Linked DNA regions of Struthio camelus. The protein of the gene in region 4 purifies or fractionates together with the protein of the main gene of each other region. This does not show direct contact. Links are inferred from orthologs where the notes say so. Each region holds a gene or a part of one and is shown on either strand. Other genes may lie near its edges.

Evidence for each region.
Region 1: the proteins of RIPK1 (region 4) and CFLAR purify together in Homo sapiens (affinity purification with western blotting; 5 studies listed by BioGRID and IntAct, with this or other methods). This does not show direct contact. The link is inferred for Struthio camelus from reciprocal best matches to the Homo sapiens genes RIPK1 and CFLAR.
Region 2: the proteins of RIPK1 (region 4) and TAB1 purify together in Homo sapiens (affinity purification with mass spectrometry; 3 studies listed by BioGRID and IntAct, with this or other methods). This does not show direct contact. The link is inferred for Struthio camelus from reciprocal best matches to the Homo sapiens genes RIPK1 and TAB1.
Region 3: the proteins of RIPK1 (region 4) and TICAM1 purify together in Homo sapiens (affinity purification with western blotting; 4 studies listed by BioGRID). This does not show direct contact. The link is inferred for Struthio camelus from reciprocal best matches to the Homo sapiens genes RIPK1 and TICAM1.

The regions. Positions count from the first base shown.
Region 1 is NC_090947.1:10,403,031-10,410,191, forward strand, and holds the start of CFLAR (CASP8 and FADD-like apoptosis regulator), read right to left. Parts: upstream 3,019-7,161; 5' UTR 2,512-3,018; intron 2,348-2,511; exon of another isoform or gene 2,219-2,347; intron 991-2,218; exon of another isoform or gene 516-990; intron 301-515; 5' UTR 229-300; intron 208-228; exon of another isoform or gene 21-207; intron 1-20. UniProt on the Homo sapiens protein: Apoptosis regulator protein which may function as a crucial link between cell survival and cell death pathways in mammalian cells. Acts as an inhibitor of TNFRSF6 mediated apoptosis.
Region 2 is NC_090942.1:57,995,360-58,002,952, forward strand, and holds the start of TAB1 (TGF-beta-activated kinase 1 and MAP3K7-binding protein 1), read right to left. Parts: upstream 3,008-7,593; 5' UTR 2,802-3,007; coding exon 2,769-2,801; intron 1,928-2,768; coding exon 1,791-1,927; intron 1,603-1,790; coding exon 1,449-1,602; intron 809-1,448; coding exon 722-808; intron 163-721; coding exon 24-162; intron 1-23. UniProt on the Homo sapiens protein: Key adapter protein that plays an essential role in JNK and NF-kappa-B activation and proinflammatory cytokines production in response to stimulation with TLRs and cytokines.
Region 3 is NC_090967.1:4,658,285-4,665,533, reverse strand, and holds the start of TICAM1 (TIR domain-containing adapter molecule 1), read left to right. Parts: upstream 1-4,229; 5' UTR 4,230-4,355; exon of another isoform or gene 4,356-4,718; intron 4,719-4,886; 5' UTR 4,887-5,198; intron 5,199-5,299; exon of another isoform or gene 5,300-5,445; intron 5,446-5,643; exon of another isoform or gene 5,644-5,727; intron 5,728-6,304; 5' UTR 6,305-6,451; intron 6,452-6,995; 5' UTR 6,996-7,209; coding exon 7,210-7,249. Other genes in the region: perilipin-3, read left to right, coding at 743-825, 1,177-1,975, 2,510-2,709, 2,978-3,106, 3,191-3,757.
Region 4 is NC_090943.1:104,667,369-104,674,641, reverse strand, and holds the start of RIPK1 (receptor-interacting serine/threonine-protein kinase 1), read left to right. Parts: upstream 1-4,263; 5' UTR 4,264-4,374; intron 4,375-6,480; exon of another isoform or gene 6,481-7,273. UniProt on the Homo sapiens protein: Serine-threonine kinase which is a key regulator of TNF-mediated apoptosis, necroptosis and inflammatory pathways.

The DNA.
Region 1 (7,161 bases), on a different chromosome or scaffold from region 4:
TTCACATCACTTGGGCAAACCTGATGCATTCCATCTGCACGCGTTTTAGCCAGACCCACTTCTCCATGAGAGGTGAAGGGCATCTTGTTTCACCCTTCCATCTGATAACGATAGCTTTTGCAAACATCATTGGTGCAGTTATAGCTGAAACATGGACAACTAAAGAAAAAGAGAAAAGCAATGACAGAATGCATAACCCAGCAGTCTAGCCCTCAATTTTTAGATTACCTGGGCTCTGCAGCAAGAAGAGCTTCTGAACGTAAATTCTTTACAAAATGGAGGGAGAGGAAAACAGCACACCTTTTGAGGAGAAAAGAAACAAGTTCACAGTCAGCAGAGAAAGCTGTTCCTGTAGTTTATGTGTTCATGTGTGCATGTAATTTGCCAATATTGCTGCAAGAAAATACTTAAAGACTTTCCTCTTCTGTTCCGTTCAGTGTTGCTTCCACTGCATAAAGATTTCGGCACAGAAGTTACAGAGCAGGAAGATATTTAAAAGAGACGGTGCTCCGTACCTTAAAAAAATCAGCTGTGCCTGAAGCACTACACTTATTTCCATTTAAATAAAATCTAAAATCATTGCAAATAGCACAACTGTAACACAACAACCTACACCGCTGTTATCTGAGGATATTGCAAGGCTGCCTCAGTAATATCAGGGGCAGAGTGAGTGAAGGGGCCAAGCCTACACATGGAACAAAGAACTACTTTTTTGTTCCTGTAATCAAAGAACCAGGAAAGCCCCAGGCACCTCGAGGGAGAAGGACAGGGGAGGAGGCAGTTTTCTGTAAGTCTAGCTATTTCAGTTCACAATCACACCAAATTTTCACAGGGCAAGCGCTCTTGTGGAAAATAGTCATAAGGTCTTTGAAAAAATGACTGATTCTAGAGTGACTCATCAGTCACCTTGTCACCCCAAAAGAGGATTGAGAGAAAACATGTCTCAAGAGGATTACTACAAAAGCACACTCAAATACGAGTTACTGCTTTTAACTTTCCTTAAGGAAGTGGAAGATTTTAAGTCTGAATGGACATTCCTTAATGAATTTCTCACCTACTGCAATGGGAAACCATCCTTGTCGAGGGCATGCTTATCTAAGTCTGCACTGACTTTTGACCCTGGATATTACACTGTAAGTAAGGATTTATTAAGATAAAATACCTGAGAAAATTAGCAAGTATATTTCTCAGACCACAATAGTCATTTCCCTTCCACGCTAGGCAAAGAGCTAAGAAAATATCAGTATGTTAATTGGCTTCTATGAGAGTAATAAAATGAATTATACTCCTATTTTCTGAACTTTCTCACTGCCCAGAATCCAGGCAGAATACATCCAAAATCAAGGACCAGGATTCTTTTTTTTTTTTTTTTTTGTTAAGGTGCGGGAAATAACAATATCCTAGAACTTCACAAAGACTTGTAAGGCTCTGTTAACTCCCCCCGTGTATGTACAAGGCTCAAGCAATTTTACTTTTTGCAAAACAAATGCTGCACAACATACTAACATCAGTTCAATTAGCAAGGCAAAAAAGTGTCCTGTACTAATTATGACAAAGTCATCTATCAGGCCTCAAATTAAGAAGCAGAAGTCTTTCAAGAGAAGCAGGGAAACCTTTCACACTTTAAAAGTCATCTCCAATTACAGTCTGTCAGTTGAGACAGCATTTGTTTCTTGAACGTTTCACAACTGTAGTAAACATCTCTACAGCAGCAAAAACGGGATATATCATCAGTAAGTGTAGTTCTTGTTTGGAAAGCCCTCTTTGTTTCACAGGACGAGCCCAAGTAGGAGCCCCTACGCCAGGCAAAGAGAGCGGGTTACCTTGCTACAAGGAGGTACTACCTGTATGTTGTGGCCCCTCCCCCTGCTTTAAGATGCAGAGGTGGTCAGCGCTCATTTTGAGCATGTATCATCTGACGTCTTTCAAACTGTTGCATATGTCAGGGCGTGTTATACAAGTTTCAAATACCCCTGTAAAGAAAGAGGATCTGCTACGAGGCATTCAGGGAAAGCCCACGGTAACTTCCACGTTCCTCATCATTGTATGAGGCCTAATGATTTGCTCTGGTGTAAACCAGTAGTGACTACACTCATTTCCATTTAAAGGTGAGCTAGTTTAACACTCCGGTCCTGATCAAAAATTGAAATAAACTGGCTTTACCCTAGGGAGTTTATACAGCTTTCCGCCCAATTTTAACTACGTCACTTTAACTCACACTTGAAAAATGAAGCGAAAGGAAACTCCGCGCTGCAGGTCGAAAAGGTTTCACCCGAAGGGCAGCGCCGGGTTTCGTTTCTCCTCACGAGCAAGGACGGGCTCAGGCCCCGCTGGCGCGGAGCGCCCCGGCTCGCCGCACCCGCCCAGGCCCGGCCCGGCCCGCCCTCCGCCGGAGCGGGCCGCAGCGGGAGGAGGGCCCGATCCCGCAGCAGGGCGCGTTGGGGGCGCCTGTCCTGAGGGCGCGGGGGGGGGTGACTGCCTGGGGGAAGGAGGAGGGGACGCATAACGCACCCGGGAGGTCTCGTCTACAGCGGCGGGGCCAGGTCCGGAGCAGGAAGCGGTGCCGCAGGGAGAAGGAGAGGGCGGTACCGGCCTCGCAACGGGCTCCCCCGCACCAGGCGTGGTTTCGAGCACGGGCGGGGGGAGGCACAAGACCCTGGGCGCTCAGCATGGCCCCTTTTTCTCTTTCTAATGCGAGTTTCAGGATGAGACATCCGGAGCGTTTTCTGCTCCTCTTAACGCTGCTGCGACCAAAGCCGCCCCCACGCATAGACAGTCCCTGCCCCAGGCAGAGAGCTCCGCTCGCCGAGGGAAGAGGGGACTGAATATTGCCACCTTCCCCTCACTGCACAGCTGCGGAGCCACACTCGCCAGCCCTCGCCAGCCCTTACGACTTTATCGCGACTCCAGCCATTAGGTACCCGGGGTCGAGGGAATGGTTATCAGCCGCCTACTTTTCGGTCGCGCAGCCAGCAGCTGCTCTTTAACCCGCCTCAGGAGAGGAACCGCCCAGCTCCGCTCCCACTGTGCGGACCAACCCCCACAAAATGGCGGCCGGGGCGGCGGCGGGAGCGAGGCGTCCACCCGCGCGCGATCCACAGCGCCACCTGAGGGGGCCGTTTGCGCACAAAATGGCGGCGCGCCCGCCTCAGGGCTGTGCGGAGCGGGGCCCTGGGGGGGAGAAAGGGCGGGAAAAGGGGGCCGAGAGGGCAGCGTGGGGCCGCTGGGCCCTTCTGAGAGGGCAGAGAAGGAGGGGGTGAGGACGGTGCTGTCCTATCAGTGAGATGGGCGCGTTTTTGTGTGTCTTGGGGGCTTCAGCTTGGAGGCCCAGAAAGGGAAGGCTGGGAATCGCATTGATAGGTAGCAGTACACACAGACATGCGTACATAATCTACGTGCATGTAGGCTGCAGGCTTCCTAAGCCGGTTTTCAGACGACGAAGGCCCACCTCAGGAGCCGCTGAGTGGCAGATCCAGCAGTTGTGCAGTGCAGCAGGCTCTTCCGTTGAGCGAATGCAGACTGGTGAGCGCAGGGCACGTATGGCGGGGCGTTTTGGTGGGGGGTTACGCAGCAACAAATCTTTCCTGCGTTCCTCTCTTGTTGTACCCCTCTGAACTCATTCACGGCGAGGATAATGATTGTACAGGCACGTGAGAGTGTTGAGCTTCCGTTTGTTGTGTAATCTTCAATACTTCTGCCCTGTGCTGCTGTTCCCATGGTATACCTGGCAAGTCCCATCAAGTGACTTAGTGTGAGGCATTAGTGTCACAGCTGGAGCTGCTCTCTCTAAATCTAAAATTCTGGCCTGTTTTTGTCAACTGAACTAGACAGAAGCCTCATCCACCATGTATGGTGAATTTGGATGCAATAGATAGAAAATCTTCAAGAAAAAAGGACTTTGAAGTATTTACAACCCAGCAAACCGTTGTATGTGCTGCTAAAATGGAGCAGTTGAAGCATGGTTTTCTCTGGAATAATGCTCAGTTGTTTAAAAAAAAAAAAATAACGTACTCCTTGGAACAGCAGAGGAAAAACTCAGGGAGGCAGAAAGTAATTTTGCCTGAACTAGAATTTGGTCAGATTCCAATTGACTGTTTTGTGCTCTGAAAAAGTACCTCGATTCTTACTGACCTGGTATGGTTAGGCTCTTGCCTCAGTATCTGTCATTACAGGGTAGTAAGGGTATTGCAGTGTCCCTGCTGCCAAGCCTGTAGCCATAGCTGATTGAGAATGAAAAGGGCTGCCCACTGAATCTCTTCTCACAATCTCTCCTTGGACCTATTCCGTACAAATGCATAAGGCTAACAGAAGAGGTTATATATATATAATGAGATAGTATGGCTGCAGCCTTATGAAAGAAAAGAAGAACCTGCTTTTTGCAAAAATGACCATACAAATAGTCACATTCACCTACATTCACATTCATAATTAACATTCACCACATCCATTGCCAAAGAGATTGACTTACTATTTTGTTTACTTTTTCCACTTTTTCCTTCACTTTCTTAATTCTTATATGCTTATGAAGCTGCTTTTGCATATTTATAGGCAATATTTATGAGCTGTGTACAAGTTTTTTGAAGGGGGGGTGTCCAAGTTTCTAAGTTGAAATACTACATTGTCTTCTCCGATTGGTTCTCATGTCCTAGAACTGCAAATCAGTATGAGTGCAGAGCAGAGAGCGTTCTAGTAAGATTAGATAGGATTGAGAAGAGATGGTCCTATTTTGCTGTGATTTAGAGAGCTTTGGATTTATATCTCTGCCTCGAATTGGATTTCTCTCCATCTACTTTCATAACAGGTTGGGGCTATTTTGTAGATTGTCCTAGTTAAGTAAAACAAAAAAAAAATTCCATGTATCTAAAAGTCAGATTTTGTATGATCAAGGTGAGTGCGTTACATCTGTTTATATAAGTGGTGTTGCTAATATCATTCATTACATGTCATAGTTCCTTATTTTAAAAAAAGGAGCTAATTCAGTAGGAGAAGTGTTGTTTGGTTTTTTTGTTGGCCTACAACTGAGGACAGAAAAGGTATAGGAAACAAACATAGAAGACTAGTCTGGAGGATGATACAAATTTAGAATTTTATACTGAATGATGTAAAATTTTACAGTTGCTGTCAGCAAAAATAATAAATCACGAATATCTCTTGAGATGATGCAGATAGCTTTGTGAAGCACAGGTGAAAATCCTATGACCATCATCAGTGTTTTTCAAAACTTACTTACAGAATGAGCTTCCTGATTGTGCCATTACCATCATATGTTCTTCACCTGGAGGTGGCCACTGCTGTTTGTGACCCTGTTCTTTGCTCTGTAAAATAATCTTATGTGTGCTGGTAGGAAGCCTGCTTTAATTTTAGGACATTCATTGCTATGGTTACAGTGAAGACAGGTTTGGTACTTATTATCCTATTACATAGGAAATACTCCATTACCAGGAAGGATTAGTATTATTTTAGTAAATGTGAAATAAAAATCTTTTATATAAGAGTATTGTGTGTATAAGGAGTATTACATGCTACATCTGTTTTAGGGAATGAATGAAGACACGTTTTGATATTCCCTAATACTGCCAAGGCAAGTTCACCATAAATTTAGGCAGCCATTGATGGCAGTGGCTGAAATACTTTCTGGTAATTAAATCACTGAATGACACCTTCTTAATCTATAAATTAATGAGTTTCACCTAAACCAGTCCAGTTTTAACTAACAGCGAATATGCCCAATATACTACTACGGTGTGGAATGTTCATAAGGCTGATTCCTATGATCTTCCCTATACACAGCAGCATTTAAACATGAATATATGGAAGAACTGTATAAAATTGAGGTGACTTGCTTGTGTGCAAATTTTCTGGAAACTCTGGCTGAAATGAGTGAAGATGTGTAAGATTTCAACAGACTGATTCTTAACTTTCTTCATGTACTGTAATTGCCAACAAACCAGAATCTGGATAAACAAAGCTAACTGTTTTTTAAAAAATTGAGGAATGCATTAGGTTATATATCAATCAAGCTACGTTTCTGTATGCATATCTTACATCTTTTGGTCCAAGCAAAGTGAATAACATACCAATATTATGTATGCTGAAAATAGGAGTACAGTAAGTTTTTCTCATATGTGTTTTTCTGCTAAGTTTGAAAAGAATGTGTGAATCTCTCTTCAGGTAGCGTAAATGACAAAATTCTGTTTAAAAAAAATAGAACTATATTTAGTCATACCAATGAAGCTGCAGGCTTGTATCATTTTAAAAGACTAATTCTATAGGAGTCTGTGGCAACTTTACTGCAGACTCTGAAGCATTTTAAAAAAAAACAAAATAAAACAGCATGCATATAGAAGAACATGAAAACAAGGTTTCCAACTGGAAACTAAATGAAACAGCAACTATTGATCAAGGTTATGTTAAGGTTTATGCTTCTGGAAAAGTTGCAATAGGGTTGGGGGGCAGGTAACCAGTCAAATCAGCGTGCACACATACACAAGTCAGGGACACCATATTATAACTATAAAGGGCAGAAGTGAGCAGCACATACCTGAAGTGCAAGTTTCATCGATACCACTTGTAATGCCAGCTCTGCTAATCATGTGCTTCTGAACCACCACCGAAAGTTGAGCTTTCTTAATCCTTTTAATCTTAGACCTGGTTAGAACAAGCAGTGAATACTAGCCTTTGCAAATGCATATTCAGGGCAGGACTGCCTAAGGGATAATGTAGAAATGTTTTGTTGCAACAAACCTTACACAGTATGTTCGTGATTTGTTTTTCATGGAATGATGCAATAGCATAGGGATACTTGAGAAAGAATTAAGCAAGAAAACCAATTTAGTAAAACAGCTGTTTGTCCAATGAACAATGCCTTAGGCAACGTCATGCAGAGATGTAGAATTCTGTAGGAGTGCAGCTGTACTGTTCAGTAGTTTTATTGCCTCCAAAAATAAAACTCTGCTATAGCCTCACTGAAAGACTGTGCACTCTCTCTCTCTATATATAGAGAGAGAGGGAGGCATTTTACCCTCCTTTTTTTTTTTTATTTTTATTTTTTAAGAGCTGCAGTTGTTCTTGTAAAGCTGCAATTACAACTTCAAGGTACTCTACAGTTCTTCTACACTGGAAGTATACAACGTAATTGTCTAGTGGTATTTGAAGTTTACT
Region 2 (7,593 bases), on a different chromosome or scaffold from region 4:
GAGGCCGACAAAGAACTACTCACCCACGTTGGCGATATAGAGCTTGTTGTTGAGAACAACAGCCACAATAGCCATGGCTCCTCCAGAGATCTCCTGCTCTACAACCTTCAATCTCTCCACAATCTTCTGGTACTGAGGAGGCAGCTGGTGGTGAGGGACACCCTGGAACCCAAGACACCGGGGGAAGCTTAAACACACAACCCACAACACAGAAACCACAGCTGGAATCTGAATGCTGCAAGGAGGAGAACTGTCTTTATGCAGTCTTGGCATGAGGCTGTGACAAAGAAACACCCTAACAAATAAATAACATGGCTCTGGTAAGGTTCTGGGGAAGACAGTCCAGCTCACCTGAAGAGCAGAATCCACATCTGCCCAGATGCCATGCAGAGGCCCTGTCTCTTATCTGTGTCATATGGCTTTGTCCTGGAAGAGCCACATGCACAGAGGTGAACTCATCTCCATGATACGTTCAGTTCTCCACCCCTCTTCTGAGACGACCAATGATGAGTCTAAGTAGGGCCAGTATGAACACAGTGGCACCTCTGGGAACTGGACCAAGACGTTTGCTTCATTTCACACAGGCCCCCAGAAAAGAACTAAAGAGTAATAGTTTTCAAGTACACCCTCCCTTGGACCAGACTGAATAGCGTCTCTAAGACTCATCCAGCAATCTGGAGGGAGGGACCTCCCACAATCTCCGCTGTTAAGACTACGTTACCTCTGGTAGCTGAGACTGCAGGCTGGCCTTCTCTGCCAAAGCATCATCAATGGACTCCAGGAAACTCCTTTCTACCACATCAAAAGCCTAAAAGAGGCCATAAGAGAGACTGAGCTCTTATCTAATATCTACAGAGCTTCCAGGCTGCCCACCCCCACCACACCAAAATGGGCTCACCAGAGTGGTTGATCGCTCTACAGATAGTCAAGAATCACTACATCACACCTAAGAACAATTATTTTGGTGCAACTAGTTAACTAGTCTGTAAAAACAAACTGCAACTACCCAAAACAGGGGACAAAAATATAAAAGTTATGTTCAGAGCAATGTCAGAGACCTGCCTGATTTTGTGTGCTGACTGTAAAAAACTTATTATCACTCAAGAAAGTATGCTCACAAATCCATCGCCCCACACATTAAGTATTCTCTTTCACTCATTGTCATCTCCTTCGCAGGCTGACTTGTCCCTTCCCTACACGTCCAGTGAAGACTGGCTGCAGCTTCCCACAGAGCTCTCAGCAGTGTGCTGACTGAGCCAGGGGGACAGATGGGTATGAGGTGGGAGTGAAACAAAGCACTACAGCTGCTCAGGATGAGTGCAGTCTCAGCTATTGGCAGAGACTGCTCCCAGTTCCCTCAGAAACCAGATGCTGCTCCCATGGTGGCAAAAAAAGAGGAGGTGGGTCCTGTGAGAAGCAGGGGCTGTTCTCAGCCAAATCTCATTTACCTGCAGCAGAACCCGGCGCACATCAGCATCACTGTGATCTGCATGTAGCTGGCCCAACAGCAGTTCTGCAGAGAGCCTTTGACCCACAAAGTTGGTGACTCGGTTGCCATCATAGCCATTGAAGACACCATAGAGGTAGCAGTTGTTCTCACTCCTGTCCAGAGAGGGCAGAAGCAAAGAGGTGAGAGAGGTCTGTGACAGAAAGAAGTATACAAAACAAGTTCCTCCAGACAACTCCTGCATGCTCTGGCCCCACCCTCTACCTCCAAGTCCTACTGTGAGGAGCCAACCACCACTCCTACCTGTCCTTGTGTCTGCAACGGTCTGTGTTAACCCACTTACCTGAATTTTAACCAATTATCTTCCAAGGGATGACCCTCTGTCCCCTTGCCATCTGCACTGTAGGAACGGTTTGGAGCTGAGCCTACCCCAGAGAGATGGCAGGATGGTAAGTCATCTGTCCAGCTGGGCTGCTGCTCCTGGGAGACAGGAAGAGGAAAGAGACTATGTAAATGGCAAGCAGCCTGAAGTGAGGATCCAGGTTCAGCATGGGCAACAAGACCATCCCCACCCTCTTCTCAGCCCTTCTCACCTTTGCTAAAAGGGTAGCACACCACCCCAGCCAGCAACTTCATATTCCCTGCCACTGCTGCAGAATTGGATCGCTTACCACTTTCTTTCCCTCTGAAGCTGAGTTCTGGCTGCACCTCCAGCTCTTGCTAATAAGAAACCAGAACTGAAATTTGCACCTGAGTTTTACACTGGATACAGCACAGCACTAGCACTCCGTTTGGTGAACCAGCCTCTCACGCATCTGCGGCATGGGAGTACGGGCAACGCTCTGGCTCCCTGCTGGAGTACATCCACCCAGGAAAAGAGGGCGATAGCCCTGTCGCTGCAGACAATTAGAGAGGCACCCTCAAGGCCACCAGCTCCCTGTCACACACTCCCTGTGCGTACACACACACACACACACACACACACACACACTCTGCCGAGGCCTGCCCTGACCCCTCCAGACCAGGCACGGCCCCCCTCAGCCACCTGCCGCCCCCCACACGCCGATGCCCCGCTGCAGAGCGGCAGGGCACCTCAGGGAACAGACTCTTGAACATGCAGGGTCCTCCCCCCCCCCGTCCCGCCCCAGGCCGGGCCCCTCAGCAGGGACCCGCCGCCCTGAGGCAACGACCCGCCTCCACAAACACCACAGAAGTGCCCTCCCCTCCATTTCCCAGGGAGCAGGCGAGAGGGAGGCCTGGACCCCCCTCACACACACCTAGGGGGGTGCGTGTGCACGGAGGGGGGGAAGATGCCACTCACACTCTGCAGCAGACTCCTCCTCTGCGCCGCCATCTTGGAGCAGGAGCGACCTCCTCCCTCCTCCACCTCCTCCCCCCCTCCACCCACCCCGGCCCTTCTCCTCCAGAGCAGCCGAGTCCGCCGGCAAGAGCGGCGGCGGCGGCGGCCGCTGCCTCCTCTCCTCCCCCCGGCGGCGCGCGCAGCCAACGGCTGCGGCACGCACCGCTTCCGAGGGGGGGCGCCGCAGCCCAGTGGCGCGCGGCCCCGCCCCTTCCCCTGCGGGAGCGATGGGGAGGAGGCGCGGCTCGGGGGCAGGCGCATGCGCGTAACAGTGCCCCCCCCCCCCCCCCCCGCGGCGGGCGGGCGCGCGCGGGGCGGCCGTTGGCCCCGGGTGGGCGCCGGCAGTGGGCGCGGCGGCAGTGCTGCGTCCTGCGCTGCTCCATATTTATACATATTAATATGAATTAATAATTAATATGTTATATATTGGTAATTAATATACTGTTTTTAAATTTCCCTGTCGTCTCCCTTTCCTCTTTTCTCGGGTGAAGGAAGACGCCTCTTGCCTCTTACCTGGAGGCCGTCAGTATTGAGGGAAAGAAGCGCCCTTCTACCATCATTGCAGGCGTGTGTGGAGGAGGGAGGAGAGGCAGATGAAATGGGGCTACCTTGGGTGCCAAATAGCCCTAAGCAAGCCTGGCGGTCAGTTGTGTTGTGTGCAGCTTTTAAGGAAGACCAAGTATGGTTAAAACCAAGATACCAGCTGTCAGCTGCACTCTTGGCCTGTAGATACCACAAGAGGCCTCCGCTTTCCTCAGCTTGCAGTCCCTTTCCTGCCAGGGTGGTCAAGGCCCTTTCCCACCCTCATTTGCAGGCCACAACAAAGAGATGGTGGGACCATACCCTCAGGCCAGCAATGGGAAGGTGTCCAGAGCAGCTCACAGATGCTTCTCATCATCCACCACATGTTGGAGCAATGTCTGGTAGGCTGGAGTCAGATATAACAGCAAAATCACTTGTAGTTTGTCAAAGAGCTGGATCAAAACTGCTGGGACCAGCTGAAACGCCCCTCCGCTGGCATGGAGTGATTCTGCTCTGGTTCACTATTCAGAAAAATGTGTGGGGAGTGCTTTGCAGGGGCAACAGCTCTGTGACTGGCTGCCTTGATTTCCCTGCTCAGCCCTGGCAGCGTGCCTGCCTGGTCCTCTCTGATCTGCGCCACAGGCTTTCCCACCTGGGGCAAGCTGATGCTTTTCCAGCCCTTGTACCCCAGCATCACTTTTCCATATTCTGTCCTATTACAGCACAGAAAGGGCACAGACTTTTCTTTGCACGATTTGCTAAGTCCACTAGCCAACACTTGCAAATTCCTTCTCCGTTTGGATCATGATCTGAATCAGGCCTTTACTAGGTGGGGATTACATTTCCCTCCTCCATGCTCTTCGCTAGACTTGCGGACTAAGGCCTTCCTTTTTTCCCTCCCTGCCACCTTGATTCTCAGCTATCTTGACTGAAAGCTCTCTGCAAGGTGCTGTGCAACTGCAAAGCAGGGCCAGAGGTGAGCTGACCTGGCTGCTGAACTAGTTCATACTGGAGCATATCTACATAGGTGTCATGAATCCACTTGTTACACATCTCTCTGCCTCTCACCTGGGATGTGGAGGACCTGGGGTGGGAATACCTGACATCTGTGTATGTAAAAAGGGTATTGATATTGAGCTCTTAATCTAGACTATATTCAGGGCCGTTTCCTGTCAATAGATTCCCTAAGGAAACTTAGACCAACACATTCACTTTGCTGTTTCTACTTAAGCGATATAGACACAGAGATAACTGAATTTGCTCTTCTTTAAGAACCTATCTTTGCCTTTCTAGGCAGAGGTAGACAGTTTCAGGAAAGACCGTTTCCATTTAACCAGCCCTACTGAATCAGGAGGGAAGAAAGAGGGATCATTCCCATCACTTACTTTCATTGTAAGTCAGCTGAAGAGCCTTCCGGGTGTGTGATTGGCATCTCTCGAAGTGAGCGATGGCGGGCAGACTGGCTGCAGCACCAGGGGTTTCTGGGAAAAGCACATTTCTCTCTGCGAATCAGAACTGAAGGGTCTTCAACATGCTGGATGTGCAGTTTTAGTCAAGTGTAGCAGTGCAGTTGTGGTGAGGGTGGGAGTACTAAGTAGTCTTGACTTCCAGCAGTCACTTGATACTCTTTTACTGACATCTTTGTGGCAAATGTATTATATTCAGATGCACTTTAGAAATAATTGCCAGTTAATTAACCTCATTCTATAGAATTATGGCTTTTGCTGCAGGGACTCCTGCCAGAGGATTCCAGCTCCCTTCCTGTAAATCCTTTGTCTATTGTTTAATTACATCTCTTTCTTCCAAATATACAAAGAGTTCATATCCTTTCCCATTGGGCAAGACGCACACATTTTCAGCTGTTCAAGCAGACTTGGATACACAGGCAGTATTTTAAAGGTTATATTGTCCAAAGATGGAAGAAAATGCTACATCTAAAATCTCAGTGTACAAACAAGTTTCCTCATGTTTAGCTTTATGTACAAGCTTGGTCTGACTGATCTCATTTGAACTATTTGTGGTTGTAAAGCTGTGAGTGGGTATAAGCAATTATAGGAATGGGCCTTGAGTCAGCATTAAAATTAAAATTAGGAATAACAGGTTTAGAACTAACAAAGATTTGTTTTCTTATCCCTATTAAAAGTTCATGGTGCTGCAGAAACCCGTATAGAACAGCACTGTCTTTGTAGTTAACAAGCAACAGACAAGTTATCTGCTTTAAAACACGATGTCACTTTCTTCAGCATTGCAGCAAAAGCTTATGCTTATTTAATGACATTGAAGATTGCAGGCATGCACCTTGATGAGCATGAGCAGACCCTGTCCTTGCACAAAGCACCACTGAAATCAGCAAGTGCTTAGAGACTTTCCAGGGTGTATCGCATTGCGGGACTGGGAATTTAGGAGTCATTTCTGTCTTCTCATATCCATAACTGACTCCTACTGAGACTAAAAAGAGTGGTGGGTGTGTGGGGGTGTGGGTGTGTGTGTGGGTGTGTGTGTGGGTGTGTGAGATGGGGCAGAATTTGTTCCCAGAGAGAGAGGAAAACAACTTTCTGGAAGATAGATAGAGAAGCTGCCATTTTCCTTGTTTGCACGATGGTTAGTCACCTCTTGCAGTTAAAAGCGTGCCCTATTCCTAATTCAAATGGGTCTGACTTCAGTTCTCACTCACTGATTATTGTCCTTCTGGTTTATCTTTTTCCTTCCCCTTTGGGCTGGAACACAGACCTTCTGGTGCAAAACATTTTCACGTGGTGAATATACTTGTGCCAGATTCTACCTCGATATTACTGTGGCTCTGCCACTGAGTCCCAGCCCTAACCTTGAGCAAAGCACTTAGCTACTTCTCTGCAAAACATGAATGATAAGACTTACCCGATAGGGCTGTTTGCAGTGCTAAATGGGTACTTCTCAAGCATTTTGCAGTCTTCTGAAGGAAAATGCTACTGATGCTTGTATGCTGCTTCGTGAATAACTGTTCACAGAGACCAATAGCTGTATGCAGCACTTGCTAAATGAAATATTGCACCAACAGTTTTTTTGGTTATATTGATCAAAGTTACTTTTCCCTTTGTTTTATTTATGCTTCTTATCTTTAGTAAATCCTCTCAGAAATTACTGTGCTGTATGAGACAGCAAAAAGCTCCCCAAGAATGCAGGATATCGGCCATTGAACCTCATCCACACGCAAATAAATTCCTTGTATGAGTCAGTGACTACCGGATCTAGAGTTATCTTAAAGCACAGCTCCCTCTCTCATGTCAGTTTAAAACTCCCATATTTCTCATTCCTCTCTCTCTCTTTCTCTCTCTCTCCCCCTCTGTATTTATTATTTCTCTTTGCTTCTCTGTTCCCAGCGCTAGGGACTATATACACAGCATTTCTGGTGCCAAGTGGTACTACTGCCTTCCTGTTTTTACAAATGATTTCTCTGTAGAAAAGGAAGCATGCTCACTCTGCTGGACCAGTAGATAAAAGATGTTCCCTGTTGAACAGCATGCCCTGGGGGAGCACAATGTCAGTAGGACAGCCCCTGCAAGGTGCTGCTGTAAGTACTCAGAAATTTTACACAATGAGAAGCTATTATAGGATTACCAGCAAAAGCCATCATATCATTTAGTTTCTCTCTGCTGGTCACAAGCGAGATTGGTTTAAGGAGAATTTTTTCTGCCCTGTTTTGCTGATGATGGAGGCTGGGGCTGGGAGGAAAGTCATGATGTTCGGCAAAGCTTGCAGGCGCTGATCTGGAAAAGAGTCACTCAAGCAGAGCCAGCCTGCTGCACTTGCTCTGTTCCTACGGCAGAGCCTTACAGAGACCGATGGTAGAAGGGGCGGCGCTGTAAGCATCACACAGCTCCTCCCAAGCTCTCCTCAACTACCTGTACCAGCTTCGGCCCCCTGCTTCCCACAGGCCCAGATGCCCTAATGCTCCTGGTTCTTCTGTAGGCCACTACTTCCAGGCAGGCTGGAAAGGCAAGGAAATAGAAATGGAGCAATAGAGCAATAGAGGGAACAAGAATTAAGGAAGGAAAGATGGAGATAGAGGAGAGAGCAGCTTCCTTCCTCCAGCACCCTCCAGGCAGATGGAGGGCCAAAGTGGAATAGCTACAGCCAGGAGAAGGGGAATGGTGAGGGAGGACTGATGCCCAAAGATAAGAGAGAGAGAGTAAGCCAATATCTCTGCAAAATTGATTTAGTAAAGAGCTGTGAGCCAGTTCAGTTTTTTTGAAGGAGGGAAATGGAGTTGTTACAGTTGTGCTGA
Region 3 (7,249 bases), on a different chromosome or scaffold from region 4:
TGAAAGAAGGAAGAGGAAAAAAATCAACTTTTTTCTCTTAGCCATATGTAGTCTTCAACAAGTAAACTACCTCTAAATGACATTAGAAGTCTCCTCTTAAAACCATGTCTCTTGCAAAGTCATTCCCACATTATTTTGGCTTATGTGACAAAGCCTAGATAACCACCATGAGCTTAGATGATACCCCTGCTTCGTTAAGGTGCAAGTGATGCCCCTTCTGGGTAACATCTCCTACAGCACATCCTACAACACTTGTAGTATTGCTGACTCCTCCACTGCTCCCAGCCACTCCATAGGCCCACTGAATTTGATGGATAAGGGATTGTCACTAGCAGAAGCCAAGTTTGACCTCATCTGTGGCTTCTTTAAGTGGAGAGGCAAAAGCTCCCTGCTCTGCCTCTATCGCTTCAAGTTGTGAATATCCCATCAGGTAGTATCAGTGTTTATTCTGCCTTTTGCTCAGTTTGTCTCATCCCAAGACAGTAAAAAGCCATTAATCCGCTTCCCTATCCACTGGAAACAAGTACCACGCTCTGGCTGGAGCGATGTGCTCTCAATTGCTAGAAGGCTGGGAAGGCAAAACGAAGAGACTATTTAGCGAGACCCTGACCACCACCCGTACCCCAAACAATGATCTACTTTATTTGCTCTCATGAGCTCATCCTGGATTGGCCATTGTAGGATCAAAAAAGCCTCCAAACTCGAGTAGAGGGACTAACCTGGTACCTGTCCTTCTGTCTAGTTGCACTTGTAAATGAATATGCCTGCAAGGGACTGGATCAGCTGGAGGAGAACTTGCCTTTTCTTCAACAGCCAGCAGATAAGGTAAAGCAAAGGCTTTTTCCAGGGAAGCCATGGCTCACTCTTCTTGCTTGATATAACTGTTATGGGTACAGAAGTATATGGGGAAACTAACTTGGGCAGTGCTGCTTTGTCAGGTCAGTTCCTGGATATGGGCTACAGCTGCCTGAGCTAGAGAAGGCATTGCTAGCTGATGAAAGCCGAGGCTCTGCCTTCAGCGTGTGGAAATAGATTTCCATGTGAATACAGATGTACTGATTTCCTCACCTTTCCCACAAGAGTGCAGGCACAGCATAGCCATGTGAAAAGCTCCCTGAGGGAGGGAAACCTATTCTGGAAAAATGCATCATCTTTCTCTGCCTCACCTTGTTGTAGGTCATCTCAGACACCAAGCAGCTGGTTTCTGCCAAAGTGACATCTGCTATGGATGCTGCCTGTGAGGCAAAAGAAGCAATGGCTGATAAAGTGACTGAAGCGGTGGACCTCACTAAAAATGTTGTTGGGGACAGTGTTAAACTGACCAGGTCAATGGTCACCTCCACTGTCACCAGTGCTATGGAGGCTGCTCAGGGTGCAAAGGAGCTCGTGACTAACAGGGTGACTGAGGCAGTGGACCTCAGTAAACACATTGTGGAGGACAGCATTGGACTGACCAGGTCAGCAGCTGCTTCTACTATCGTCAGTGCTGTGGAGGCCGCTCAGGGTGCGAAGGATCTTGTGACTAACAAGGTGACTGAAGCAGTGGACCTCACTAAAAACATTGTGGAGGACAGCGTTGGACTAACAAAGGCCGCAGTCGCTTCTACTGTTACTGCGGCTGTAGGGGCTGCCCAGGGTGCAAAGGATCTCGTAACCAACAAAGTGACTGAAGCAGTAGACCTAACCAAAGAGGCTGTTCAGGATGGTGTTGAGAAGACTAAATCAATGGTCACTTCTACAGTCAATACAGCTCTGGATGCTGCATATGGCACCATAACTAGCAAAATGAATACAGCCCTGGAGCACAGCAGAGAGGCTATCCAGGAGGGGGTGGAGCTCACTAATTTCATGGTGACCAACAGCATAAGTAAAGCCAAGGCAATGGGCCAAGCAGTGGCAGGTGGTGTGGAATCTGTCCTGGATATATCAGAAGATCTGGTGGATCACTACCTCCCCATGACAGAGGAGGAGCTGGGTAAGAAAATGCTTAGCTGGTAGCTGTAACTGCAAATCACTTTCCACATGATTAGAGAGCACCTGACACTGCAGGAGTCATCTTTTGAAGCAGATAGGTAGCTCTGAATATCACCCAGTTGGCTTTCTGTCACCACTGACGTGCTACGTGGTATAGGACAGAGTTCAAGCACGTGCTAGCTACTCCTTGGTTTGCCTATCAGCCTCAAGGCAAACAACAACTGGGTACATGCTTCAACCTATTTGTCAAGTCTGCTTATCTGAAGAGAGCCCTTCAAGCTGGGACTGGCCTAGTTGTAATCTCTGAACAACTGCCAACCCCTACCACTTATACAGCGAGATTTAGCTTCCTCCCATGTTTCACAATGGGCAAATCTTACCTTTTCCCCCTCACAGCTGGGAGAGCAGAGCATGGAGACAAAGGAGTGAGGGTAGAGGCAGCTGGGCTTTGCCCTGATGGCTCCAGGGCCAAAGGGGATGGGGCACAGGGTAGAGAAGAGACATCTGTTGACAGCTGGATCTCTGTACCCTCTAGGTCAACTTGCCACTGCTGTTGAGGGATTTGATATGGCCTCTGTGGAGGAGCAGAAACAGCAGCGGAGTTACTTTGTGCGTCTGGGCTCCCTCTCTAACAAAGTCCGCCTCCGAGCCTACCGGCACTCCCTGAACAAACTGCAGCGTGTTAAGCAAAGCACGCGGGATACTCTCTCCCAGCTGCAACTAGCAATAAACCTGGTACAAACACCCTTTTTCTTTTCTATCCCACTCCGCAGAGTCTTCTTTCCCCCTGCTAGCACCCAGATGGAGGTGCTTCCTCCATTCTGCACCTAAGGTATGTTTTCTGCTGCATGTCCCTTTGAGTCCCTCCCTGACAGGTAACACTGCAGAATGTGATTCTGGAAGCTGCTTCTTTATAACATGACTCCAGTGCTTAGCAGACAGGAGCGCTTGTGCTGCTTTGTATGTGCTTGCAATGTAACTGTTCCTCATCTCTTTCCATCAGATAGAGCGTGTGAAAGACGAGGTTGGCCAGAAGCTTCTGGACGGGCAGGAGAAGCTCCATCAGCTATGGCTAGACTGGAGCCTGACCCAACCCAAGGGACACCAAATTAAAACTGCCTCCCAACCAGAGGTATCCCTAGAAGGGTGTAATCAGACCTTTTGTGGATAGCGGGCATCTCATCTGCTACAGTAACTGAGCTGTATTCTTTCCTAGCAGGTAGAGTCACGGACCCTAGCTATGCTGCATATCATCACCCAGCAGCTACAACCTGCATATGAGAATCTGAAAGCCAGCATTCAAGGCCTCCCCAGCAACATCCAAGAAACTGTACATCAAGCCACTCAAAGCATCCAGAAGCTCCACACTTCTTTTTCCAGTGCTAAGTCCTTCCAGGACCTCTCTGGCAGCACCTTGACCCAGAGCCAGGACTGTGTGAGGGAAGCCCAAAGATCCCTAGATGACTTGCTAGAATATGTAACTCTCAACGCCCCTCTAAACTGGCTTGTGGGCCCTTTCAGGGCATCAGCCAAAGTATCACAAGACAGCAGAAAGGAGAAGAAATGCAGTATGATGACTGATATGAAATCACCTGCTTTGGAAAAGGGTATGTCACCAAAGGAGGTAGCTGAAGCCCCCAAGGAATCAAAGGGGGCAAACAGGATCCTGGGGGAAGGGTCTAAAGTGCTAGACAGGTTGGAGGAGAAGGTAGAGAAATGCACAGGAGAGGTGACAAAACCTGCAGAGGAGATAGTAACTAATGCACCAGAGGAGGAGCTCTGAAAAATCCCGGTTCTTCTAACCCAAACCCCTTGGCTAGAACTTCTTTTAATCATGTGCCCAGCTGCCAATCTTACAGGAATGCCTCCTGCTCTGACACTATCCCAGGCTTTGGAGGTATGTAGCTGAGCTTACAGAAGATGTAGTTTGCAAGGTGACTTGATAACCAAGGTGGGCTGATTCTGGCATAAAGGTTGCATACCTTTTACTAAAGCATGCTGCATTGAAAGGGAAGATGGGGACCTGTATTTTGGCTTTTTAAATAAGTCAGCACAGCTGTGAATGGCTAGTTCTTGCTGAGAGGAGTTGTAGGAGAGAAGAAATGGTCTTGAAACTTATTTTTAATGTTGGAGCTTTTTTTTAATTAATCCAAGCTGCATCTTAAGAGGATGATGCACTTGGCCTCTTTGATACTGTTCCCTCCTGCTACAAGTTTAGAACTCAGCATTACAGACACTACTTCCTTCCTGACTGTGCCACTTCCTGTGAGGCTGAGACATGCAGCAGACCAGGAACAGCTGGGGGCAAGAGGGTCCTTCCCAAAGGAGACCTCTCTTTACAGAGCAGCCAAACACTTTTCCTTCAGAGAAACACTTACAAGGTGGGATTTTTCTTTTGAGCATGCCAACTTTCAGTGAGATTACTTTCTTAATCCATGTAAGTGACTTTAAGGACCGTCTGTTTGTGTTTAAGTAACTCCATGCATGAAACGTTTTGCAGCCATTAAGAAGCTGGTTTATGAGGCAGCTTTTCCCAGGAGTTCTCTACCATGGTTATGGGATATCTTGTCATTAAAATAGGGGTGATGGGTCCTGTTTTCTTCCCACTAAATAATGTTTTTGTAATTATTCTTAGCCTAACTTATTTAGGTAGCCCATGTCCTGGTATGTGAATAGTGCTAATGCTGGAGAAATGGAAAAAGGCAAACAGATTTCAAAATAAAATTTGGACTGTTTTCACATGAATATCTTTCTCTCATGTATCTAAGGCTGCAGCAGCTCTGATGAGCAAGCAATAGCATCATCTTCTCCCCTTAACCTGAGCCTGTAGGAAGCATTTTAAAGAATTACTTTTCTAGGCAGTTCATCTCCTAATTGCTCTTTTCCCCTCTGGCTTTTCTCCCCTTTGCTAGAACTAAACACTCTGAGCTGGACCCAAGCTCTGCCTCAGTCTTTAGTAGAAAAGTATTTCGACTGTCCTGCCTCCTGGAAGCTTCTGCCTGTACCCCTGGGCTTCAGCTCTGCCCACCCCACTCCCAGCATCAGCCCTACTTGCATCAGTCTCCAGCTCCAACCTCCACCCGACTTGCCTTAACCATCTTTCTGTCCTCCTACTGCTGCCAAACCCCCATGCTTTGAGGAAACAAAACCAAAACTTTCGCTAGACAAAAAAGGTTCGTGTTCAGGGTCTGCTCTCAGCTGCTCGGTGCTACCTTCAGAGGAGGGTAAGTACCGGCAGAGGGCCGGGCTAGCGCCCCGGGCCGCTAATAACCGACCTCATGGTGGGGCGGGGGGGCTCCTTCCGCTCAGCCGCGCCGAGACCCACCTGCCTCGGGTACCGAGTGCTGCCTCCGGGCCGGCCGGGGGAGTCCCGCTCCGCACCGGGCTGCCCCTGCCCCGCTCCGCCCCGGTGCCACCGGGCTGCCCCTGCCCCCCGGCGCCCCCGCTGCTTCCCGCCGCTCCGGGCTGCCCCTGCCCCGCTCCACCGCTCCGCCCCGGCGCTCCCGGGCGCCGCCGCTTCCTCGTGTGACATCAGGGCCCGTCGGGGAGCAGGCGGCTCCCCGCGGCCCCGGCGAAACCGAGAGCGCCGCGTTTCCACCTGCCCCCGGCCCGCCTGGGAAACGCTGCCCGGGCGCCGCCGCCGCATCCCCCCCCCCCCCCCCCCCCCGCCCCGCGCCGGGGGAGCCGGGGCAGCTCCCGCGGCCTCCGCCGAGCCGCTCGGATCGCCGCGGCGGCGGCCGGGCCCTGCCGGAGGTAGGCTGGTCCCTTCGCAGCGCTGGCCCCGGCTCGCGCCTCGGGGAGGAGGGCTGCAAGAGCAGGCGGCACAGAAGAGCGGAGGGGGCGAAGGTGGAAGCGTTACTGAGGGTCGGAGGGCAGAAGGGGGGAGAGATCGGCCTCGGGGCCCTGCTCGGCTCCCCACCGGTTTTTAAGAGCTCGTCGTGCAAGAGAGCAAGCTCAAAGCTGCAGGCTCTGGAGCAAGATGCCCAGCGAGAGGGAGCAGAGAGTTAGGGGAGTAGTGGGAGGTTTTGCTGACTCACAGAGGGGTAGAACATAAATAAGTGTCAAAGGTCTCCTCTACTGTTTTTGAATGCCTGGACTTCCTTTTTTCTTTTTTTTTTTTCCCTTCCTTTCCTTCCTTAGATGTTTCACTGAATCAGAAGTTTTCATAGAAAGACAACAACTTCCTCAGGCTCAGCTTGAGCTCATTCATTAAGCAATTAGAGGATTTTTATGAGATAGAAAAACAATTTGAAATTACAAACTTTCCCCAGAAGTTTGGTTGTTGAGAGCTATTTTTAAACACATTTTTTTCTGGCTTTCCTTTAAATAGAGAAAGATTTTTTCAAACGGATCAGTCGCTGCCAGTGCATCTTCAGCAACTTCTCGCCTGCCTGCCACAGACCTGCCGGAGGCCCAGACCTCCCTCGCTCTACGGACAAGTGCTGCTGGCTAATTTAACTCCGTTCAGCTGGCTTTGGTGAGTGCAAAGGCTTAGCTGGGTTCAGGGATTAGATGCATATGACCATAACGCGTATGTCCACAATTACATTAGACAGCTTGAAAGTGGACGCGAAAGGAATACAAACCTTCCTGGCAGGGTACGAGCGATTTGAAAAGACGCGGAGCCTGTAATCGGCAGGAGGCTTCCTCTAAGCGGGGCTTTATTCCTTAACTGCTCATTACAAGGATGCTGTGAGGCCCCTGCAATCAGCCCCTGCCCAACAGAGGCCACTGGTGGAGATGGACTGTTGATATGAACCAGCTGGACACTTGGATTTACCTAAATATAGTATTAGTTTAGCAATTATTTTAAAACAGTTTAGTTGACATATAACGAACGTGAAGGACTTGCTGTTTGCCTAATAATAGACTTGGGATAATGTGTGGAGCACGTTTCAGACAAGCCTCGGGATATGCAAGTACCAAGTAGATGCAAAAATATTTATCTACAAACCTTTCGAGGAGTCTCCCAAGCTCCCTGCCTCACTATTTCTGAACACTGCCCTTTTTTCTACTCACAGGTTCATCTGGCCAGTTCTTCAAGGCAGAGACTGTCCCTGACTCTGAGATGAGCCCGTGAGCAACAAGGACCTATTCCTTGTGCAGTACTTAAAAGTACGTACGACCAGGGCTTCAGAGAGCACCATAAGGAAACAAACCTTTGCTCTAGAGACTGTAATATGCTTTTTCCATCCATGCTTCTTCAGCGCATTGTCTGGAGAAGCAGCTGATGAGATGGCACAGAGTGCTGAGGTCCAGCCAAGCTTTGAAGACA
Region 4 (7,273 bases):
GAGAAGACTGAGAGGCGATCTCATCAGTGTGTACAAGTATCTGAAGGGAGGGTGTCGAGAGGATGAGGCCAGTCTCTTCTCTGTGGTGCCCAGTGACAGGACAAGAGGCAACGGGCATAAACTGAAGCACAGGAAGTTCTATCTGAACCTGAGAAAAAACTTATTTCCTGTGAGGGTGACAGAGCATTGGAACAGGTTGCACAGAGAGGTTGTGGAGTCTCCTTCCCTGGAGATATTCAAAACCTGCCTGGATGCGATCCTGGAAAATATGCTCTAGAGGACCCTGCTTGAGTAGGGTGGGGAGGGGGGGGTTGGACTAGATGATCTCCAGAGGTCCCTTCCAACCTCAACCATTCTGTGATTCTGTGAACATTTGATTCCTGGAACAATCTCATTGAAGTTAGCCACCTGCTTGCAGACAAATATACTTTGCAACACGCAAATTATCAAAAGGTCATGCTGAAGAGAAGAACAGCCAGGGGATAAATATCATCCATAATTCATATATTATTTTTCAAAAAAGAAATCCTATTATGTTAATAGATATTTTAAAGCCAAAAAATAACTATAAAGTAACCACCACTGTGACAGCCACACCCCAATGTCAAGGCAAGACTTCAGAAGATCTTCTGAACTTAGCTACAATGAAAAATTGCATCTATCACAAGGGTGGTTCCCAAGTCCCTTTGCGCAGCTTGTCCCACACTCAGGTTCCCCAAGAGGATTCGGCACTTTTCCGCATGCTCCTGTGCAGCAGTGCTGGTTGCACACTGCTGCAGTTTCTTCCACTTCAGCCCTCTGTGGTTTCAGTGAAATGCAATAGAAGTTCTGTTGTACTGTTGGGCAAAACTAGCTAAAACCATGGCTTCTCCTTGCAAAATCATCTGTACAGCTGTCAGACAGTAGTGGGATCAAGCAGACCAGCTAGTGCTTTAGCTTCAGGTTAATACATAGATTACGGAAAGATTATGAACAAATATCCGCTTAGGGTTTTCCCAGTGATCCTCTACTTCTACAGTGCTCTGGGTAGGATGCTGAGCCCAGAATTAACGTTTCAGCATTGACTCATCTCTGGAACTGGAAACTTCCTGTGTGAGGACACACTCATCTCTTGAGGTCTCAGCTGTGTCTTTAGCTGTGGACAAACACAGTGCCATCACGCTCATTCCCACCACAGTGTAGGTCCGCACAGAGCTTGCAGTTCATGGGAAACAGGGAGGTGGCAAAACTGTAAACAAAACATAAACAAAAATCAGACTTTTTAACATTTAAAAATGTGAACAAAAATCTAGCAATTAACTGGAGTGGGACTTTATGGGTGGAAGGAAAGGAGTGGAGAACTTAAAAGCTCTGTAGCAAAACTGTGATGCAGTCTTCAAACACCAGGAAAATATCTCCGTATTAAGTCACTTTCCCATTAGGGCATAAGCTTTTTGTGATTTTATTGGTTACGATAAATAAAACAGGTAAGTTTTCCAGGTAGCCTTCGTCTAGTGCTGCGGAGTTTCAATACTGTTTGATTTAGGAACACCTACATCACCTTCTGGTGATGCAACAGAATCTGAAAATTTCACAAATGCAGTTGGCAACAGCAGTTTTTATCCAACTGACAATAAAAACAGCTACATGCAAACAAAGTGCAATTGGAATTCTACGTGCTTATATTTTTTCTATTTTGATAAGATGGTTGAGACTTTTGGTACAAAGTAAATGAGAGTTTGGTCAAAATTAGTGAAAGTATCAGTTAAAGGGAAAAAAAAGAAGTAATGGGGTTATTTTATCTTAGTTGATACTAAAATTGAAAACTGCTCACAGAAATGCATTATTGTGAAAAGCATTAGAACTGTAATGAATGACCTTATCTCCAGTTCAGGATATTCTTCCGTTCTTCTTTATCAGAATTAAAGAGATTTCTCTGTGACTTCAGATTGCATTTTTGGACCAATTTATTTTCCTTATTCATTTCAAGAAGGAATGTCATAACTGGCAACACTGACCTCTGACCACGAACAAACAAATGTTTGTCTTTTTTCCTAGTACTTGTTGGTAAATCACTGAATGACTGAGATGTTTTTAACCACACAATTCTGTGTAAATGTGGCCATCTTACTTTCTCTCTTCAGCCACATACCTAATGCAAAGCCCAGAGAAGAGAAGCAAAAGAGCATTAAAAGGTTTCTGTAATGTTCGGGATGGCAACAGAAGAAAAAAACTGCACGACCTACCCATAGTTATGAGAGATGCCACATTTGCTTTCCTCAGTTGCCTTGGGACAATTAGAGTTCACGAACGTCCCAGTTTCTATGGACGATAGGCTTAGTAACACTTTCCTTAAGATATCTTGCAGCATGGATGGCCATGAAATGTGTGTTCAAACTACCTTGTCTGTCAGTTCAGCATAGCTGTCTTGAGCCTTTTAATTACAGTAAGCCTCATGAGGCCTTGCCTTGAATGCTATCAGAGCATTGGCCAGCTGGTCTGACTCTACACCGGTTGATCCAGAATCCGTTGAAAACAAAGGCATGCCCTAGACACATGCCAATTCCACTGCCGTAGGTTTTTTTAGAGTGGAAATGACTGCACTCAGCATTATGTGCAGTGGAAACAAGCCATTTGTTTGGTTTGTACTGCAAGGTGTAGAAAACCGCCTTGAGACTCAGGGAGGAAACTGCTTATGTTATCTCCAAGGCTGTTCTGCCTCTCCAAAACTGTATCGCCCGGCCCGTGCCAAGTGTTTCCCATTTATCTTTCAAAAGAGATGCCTTTCAGAAAATTGAAAGTTACATGTCACCTGCCCCTTCCAGATAAATGTGCTGGCTAGCAGAAGGCATAAATCAGACTATGCCTTCGTTTAAAAAAGGCAAGTATATGGATAAATGGGTTGTCTGGGAATTCCAGTAATGCATTGATGACTGACACGGGGAAACAAAGGACTAGTTCTACATTTGGAAAAGGCCAGAGCTCCAGAATATGCCAGCATTACATACCAGTGCACGTTGCGAACCTAAAAGGCTTCATAAGTACTAAATGGAGTATGGTTCTTTTTTGTTAATGTTTTGTTGGCTTTAAGTGGTGGTACAAACAGCCTTGAATGCCCTCCATGGTTGAGGAACCCTATCCATGAAATCCACTGTGGGGCCTCGCATGAAATTAAAACTCTCCATCACCACTGCGCTTCTTCCAGATCTACAAGAATCTAGGGCCTCAATTTCCATCAGGAAACTGAAACAGATTTCTAGACTGTCTTCTCTCATCACTCTCCTTTGAAAGTCAAGGGCCTGAGCAAGCTTGCCATTCAGCTTTAGAAAGGCTTCTTTCTTTATGTGCAAATTGTGGGCTGCTCTCGCCGGCCCACATGAATCTGCTGCTGCTTCAGTGGTATCTGGTGGCACTGATCTGTGAACACCACAGCATCTACAGGGCTTTGTGAAGAGCATAGCAGTTCCCCAGAATGGAAAAGGTCATTACAAAGCAGATAGTCATTCATCATTTCCAATTGTTTCACTGGAGAAACAGTTAAGAATGACTTTTATGTAAAGAAGCTGTAACGAGCCATTGTTTTTATATTAGAACACTTTTCCTAATGAAAGTAATGGAACAGGTCGGAAGTTATGGAATCTCTTTTACCGGTAGAATTACGACAAACTACATGAAATTTGTCAAAGATGGTCTAGACACCTCTGCAGAGCAAGAGGATGGACTAGATGGTTTACAGAGGTCCTTTTAGGTTACACCTTTCCTCCACCTGCTTCCGCAGGACTGTTACCTACTATGAGTACTCTCTTAGCGAGCAGAAGCTCCTGCCTCCATCTTCCTGAACAAGAAACTGCCTCGTAGGCCCTAAAACCACACCAAAGAGCTGCAGTCCCGCCATGCACCAACTGCAGGCCCTCCCGCAACGGCTGTCAGCCGCGGTAACTCCGACAGGTTATCTGGTAGCCGTGTGCCCAGACGCGGGCAGTACAGTACTTCGGGTCCGTGCTTCTCCCCGGGGCGCCGGCTGCGCGGCGAGGGCGGAGCGGGGCGCGGGTGGCACACGCGCTTTCCCAGCCCGGGCGGGCTCATTCCGCACGCTCCCGGGCCAGCGGGCGCGCGGCGGCTTCGCGGGCGGCGGCGGCGGCGGCCCGGCGGGCGGCGCGCCCTCCGCTTCCGAGCAGGCGCAGCCCGGCCGGGCTGGGCTGGGCGAGCGCCGAGGCGGCGGCAGCGGCAGGCCAAGCGGCCCAAACCTCCTGCCGGCGGCAGCGCGGGGCCGGCCGGCCGCAGGGGGCGGGAAGGCGCGCACGCCGCCGCGCACAGGCGCTGCCCGCCGCCGCGCCCCTCGGCCCGCTGGCGGAAGGCGGCGGCGCGGCGAGCGGCCGCGCAGGGCGCGGGGAGGTAAGGCCGCCCCGCGGGGCGGGAGGGAGCCCCGGCCGGCCCGGCTCGGCCCGGCTCGGCCCGGCTCGGCCCGGGGGAACCGGCCGCCGAAACCGGAAGTCCCGCGCGGGCTCCCAGTTGCAGAGGCGGCGGCGGGGGAGGGAGTGGGGGCTGCTGCCGCGGGCCGCGGCCACCTGCTGCCCGCGGTGGGGAGAGCGGCCCCGCGGGGCCCCCGCCCGGCCGCCCGCCCGCTCGCTGCGGCGGCCGCGTCGAGCAGAGGGTTTTCGCCGTCGGGGCCCGCGGGGCAGAGCGGAGCCCGGGGAAGCGGGCGGCGGGGAAAGCCCCGGGGAAGCGGTGCGTGCGAGGCGGGGAGGCCTGAGCGCGGCCGCCTTACAGGAAGCTGCGAGGAGGAGAAGGAGGAGGAGATGTCAAGCTGGCCGACAAGGAACTAGGCTCGAGAAGGCTCCCGTTAGGGTTTCTCAGAATTGCATCTGCTGCTGAAGCCGCACGTTTATTTCGTGCTCGCCTCGCAGGACGTTTGCTCTATGCTTCAGTGCGCTTCGGCTGCGGTTTGGGGCGCTTAGGCTGAAGCTGCGTCTGAGGCAGAGGCCTGGCCTCGGGGCTGGGCGCATCGTTTCCCCCTGACTGTTGGTGCTGCGGCGTTCGGCACCTTGCGGGACTGGGCCCTGGTTCGTGGTGGTTCCCTGAACTGCGCTGGGCTATAGCCACCTCGTTCCGGACAGGCTCTTTAAGGCTTTTTGAGCTAAGAAGGGATTTGCTAAAGCTGTGTTTTCACACTAGGAAATAACTTGTTAAACCAGAGCCTCCCTGGTAGTAAGGTCCAGAGGTGGCATTTTGCTCAAGTGTTTCTCTGCATCAGTGTGATGGGATCTGGGTGATGGGAAATTAGTTTGAGAGCATGTTTCTGGTAGAAAGCTGTTTGGTAGCAGCTAGTGCCTTCCTCTGACAGGGTCATACCAGTGTAAGATGGTACTCTACTGAAATGGCTTACTCTAATTCGCATATAAGAACATGCATTTTTATGAGCGCTTCTATCCTAAATTGTAACTAATTATTACAAAATATGACTGGTGCAAACCCCTGCACAATCCTTGTTCTTTCCTCTTTCTGCCTTCCTCTGCCGTATTCTGGTTCTACCAAAGAATCTCAGCCCCTTTTAATTGGCATCTTTGTCTCCCTTGTCTTGGTCCGTCCTTGTATTCCTGTAGAATCCCAGCTGTGGCTTGCTGTTGAGATGACACAAATATTTTCTTTGCTGTTTCCAAAAGAAAAGTTCATCCCTGAGCCAACAAGTGCAGCAGTGGAAAAAAAATCCTAGCAGAAGGGAAAGGTTTAGACTGAATGGGTCATCAAGGTTACAGTGATATAGCTGTGATGCACTGACATCTTTTGAAACGTCTTCACCAAGTGTGCAGCATTTTACGCGTGTTAGTGCTACAGGTTTTGTTTCCTGTTTGTTATTCTCTTCTCTTCATAATTGATACCTTGAAGTGACCAAGAGTTTTGGTGCCTGCAAACTTGTCCACTTTTTCTGATAATATCTTGTATTAGAACATCCTGTATTAACTCTCAAGAAACTTTGCATTACTAGTGTAACTAGACCACAAGTGCAGCCATTATCACTATATAATCTTTCTTCATATTACTGTGCTAATACCCTTAGCAGTCCCCCTTAATTGTGCAGGCTACCTGAGATCTGTATCAGATCAGTAACAATTTGTTAAAATGAAGCAAATTACTTTTGAATGACGATCAGACCCAAATGACCTCTAATGATCAGGTCACAATTTTGGGAGTTTCTGGGCCCTTTGGGGGCCAGTGGAGGGAACATAACCCATGATGTTAAAAAGAAAAGCCACAAACCCACGTTACACTGTTATCCTTCTCTAAAGAACACCCAAACGTATTACTGGGCAAATCTTCCCCTCTTCTAGCAGCCAGTATTCCAAATTTTTGTAGTACATGTTGACACTTCTTAAAAGTAAACCAACTTAATAAAGCTGTTCAGAACATCGTGTTAAAAAATAATTTGCTTAGTGATCAACCAAGTGTACAGATGAAGGGGACCCTATAGAACACAAACTAAACGCTGTAAGTATGCTTAGCTTGTGTGAGGTTAGGCTGAACTAACTTCAAAATTCCTGTTCACTCAGTATACTCATTATATAATATCACGGATATATAATGCTTATCCTGAAGTATCATAGCTACTAAGGATAGATTTGAAAAATCATGTATCGTAATAAAAAGCAGTAAACTTGGACTGGACTTGAGCCTTGGAGCTCTCCTCCTTGATTTCTCTATTATCTGACATTCCCAAGTAATATCAGTGAAGTAATATACCAAAGTAAGCAGTCTTTCCTTAAAAACCGTGCCAGAAATTGCTTCCCTGTGATGTCCATCCTAAAAAAACCCTTTGGGCTTGAAGCAAATCTTTGGTTCAAAGTTCTTAGAGTACTTTCTACTTTAAAAAAGAAAAGTTAGTAACATCCTAATACTAGAACATGCCCAATGGAGGGTTTTTTGCCCCAGTGTGAGAAAATCTCCTATGTTGAATGTTATCCAGTTCATTTCAGCGTTCATGGTGACTAATTATGGCTTGATGGGAAAATGCATTAGCAATTTATATAGGAAGAGTGTTGCTGTAGTTTGGGGCAGGGCTGCTTTTCATTAAGTTATATAGTAATGACTGTCAGGTAACCCCAAGCTATCGATAGCATTAATGTAACTTTAGGGATTTAGCTTTCTGAAATATATATCTAGTGTATTTGCATGATCATAAGGACAGAATATGTGGTTCTGTCCTGAGTAATTACTAGCTAGATGCATAATTACCATTATTATGCAAAAATTACTATAGATATGTGACTTTGAACTAATACTTGAAAGAGAGACCCCA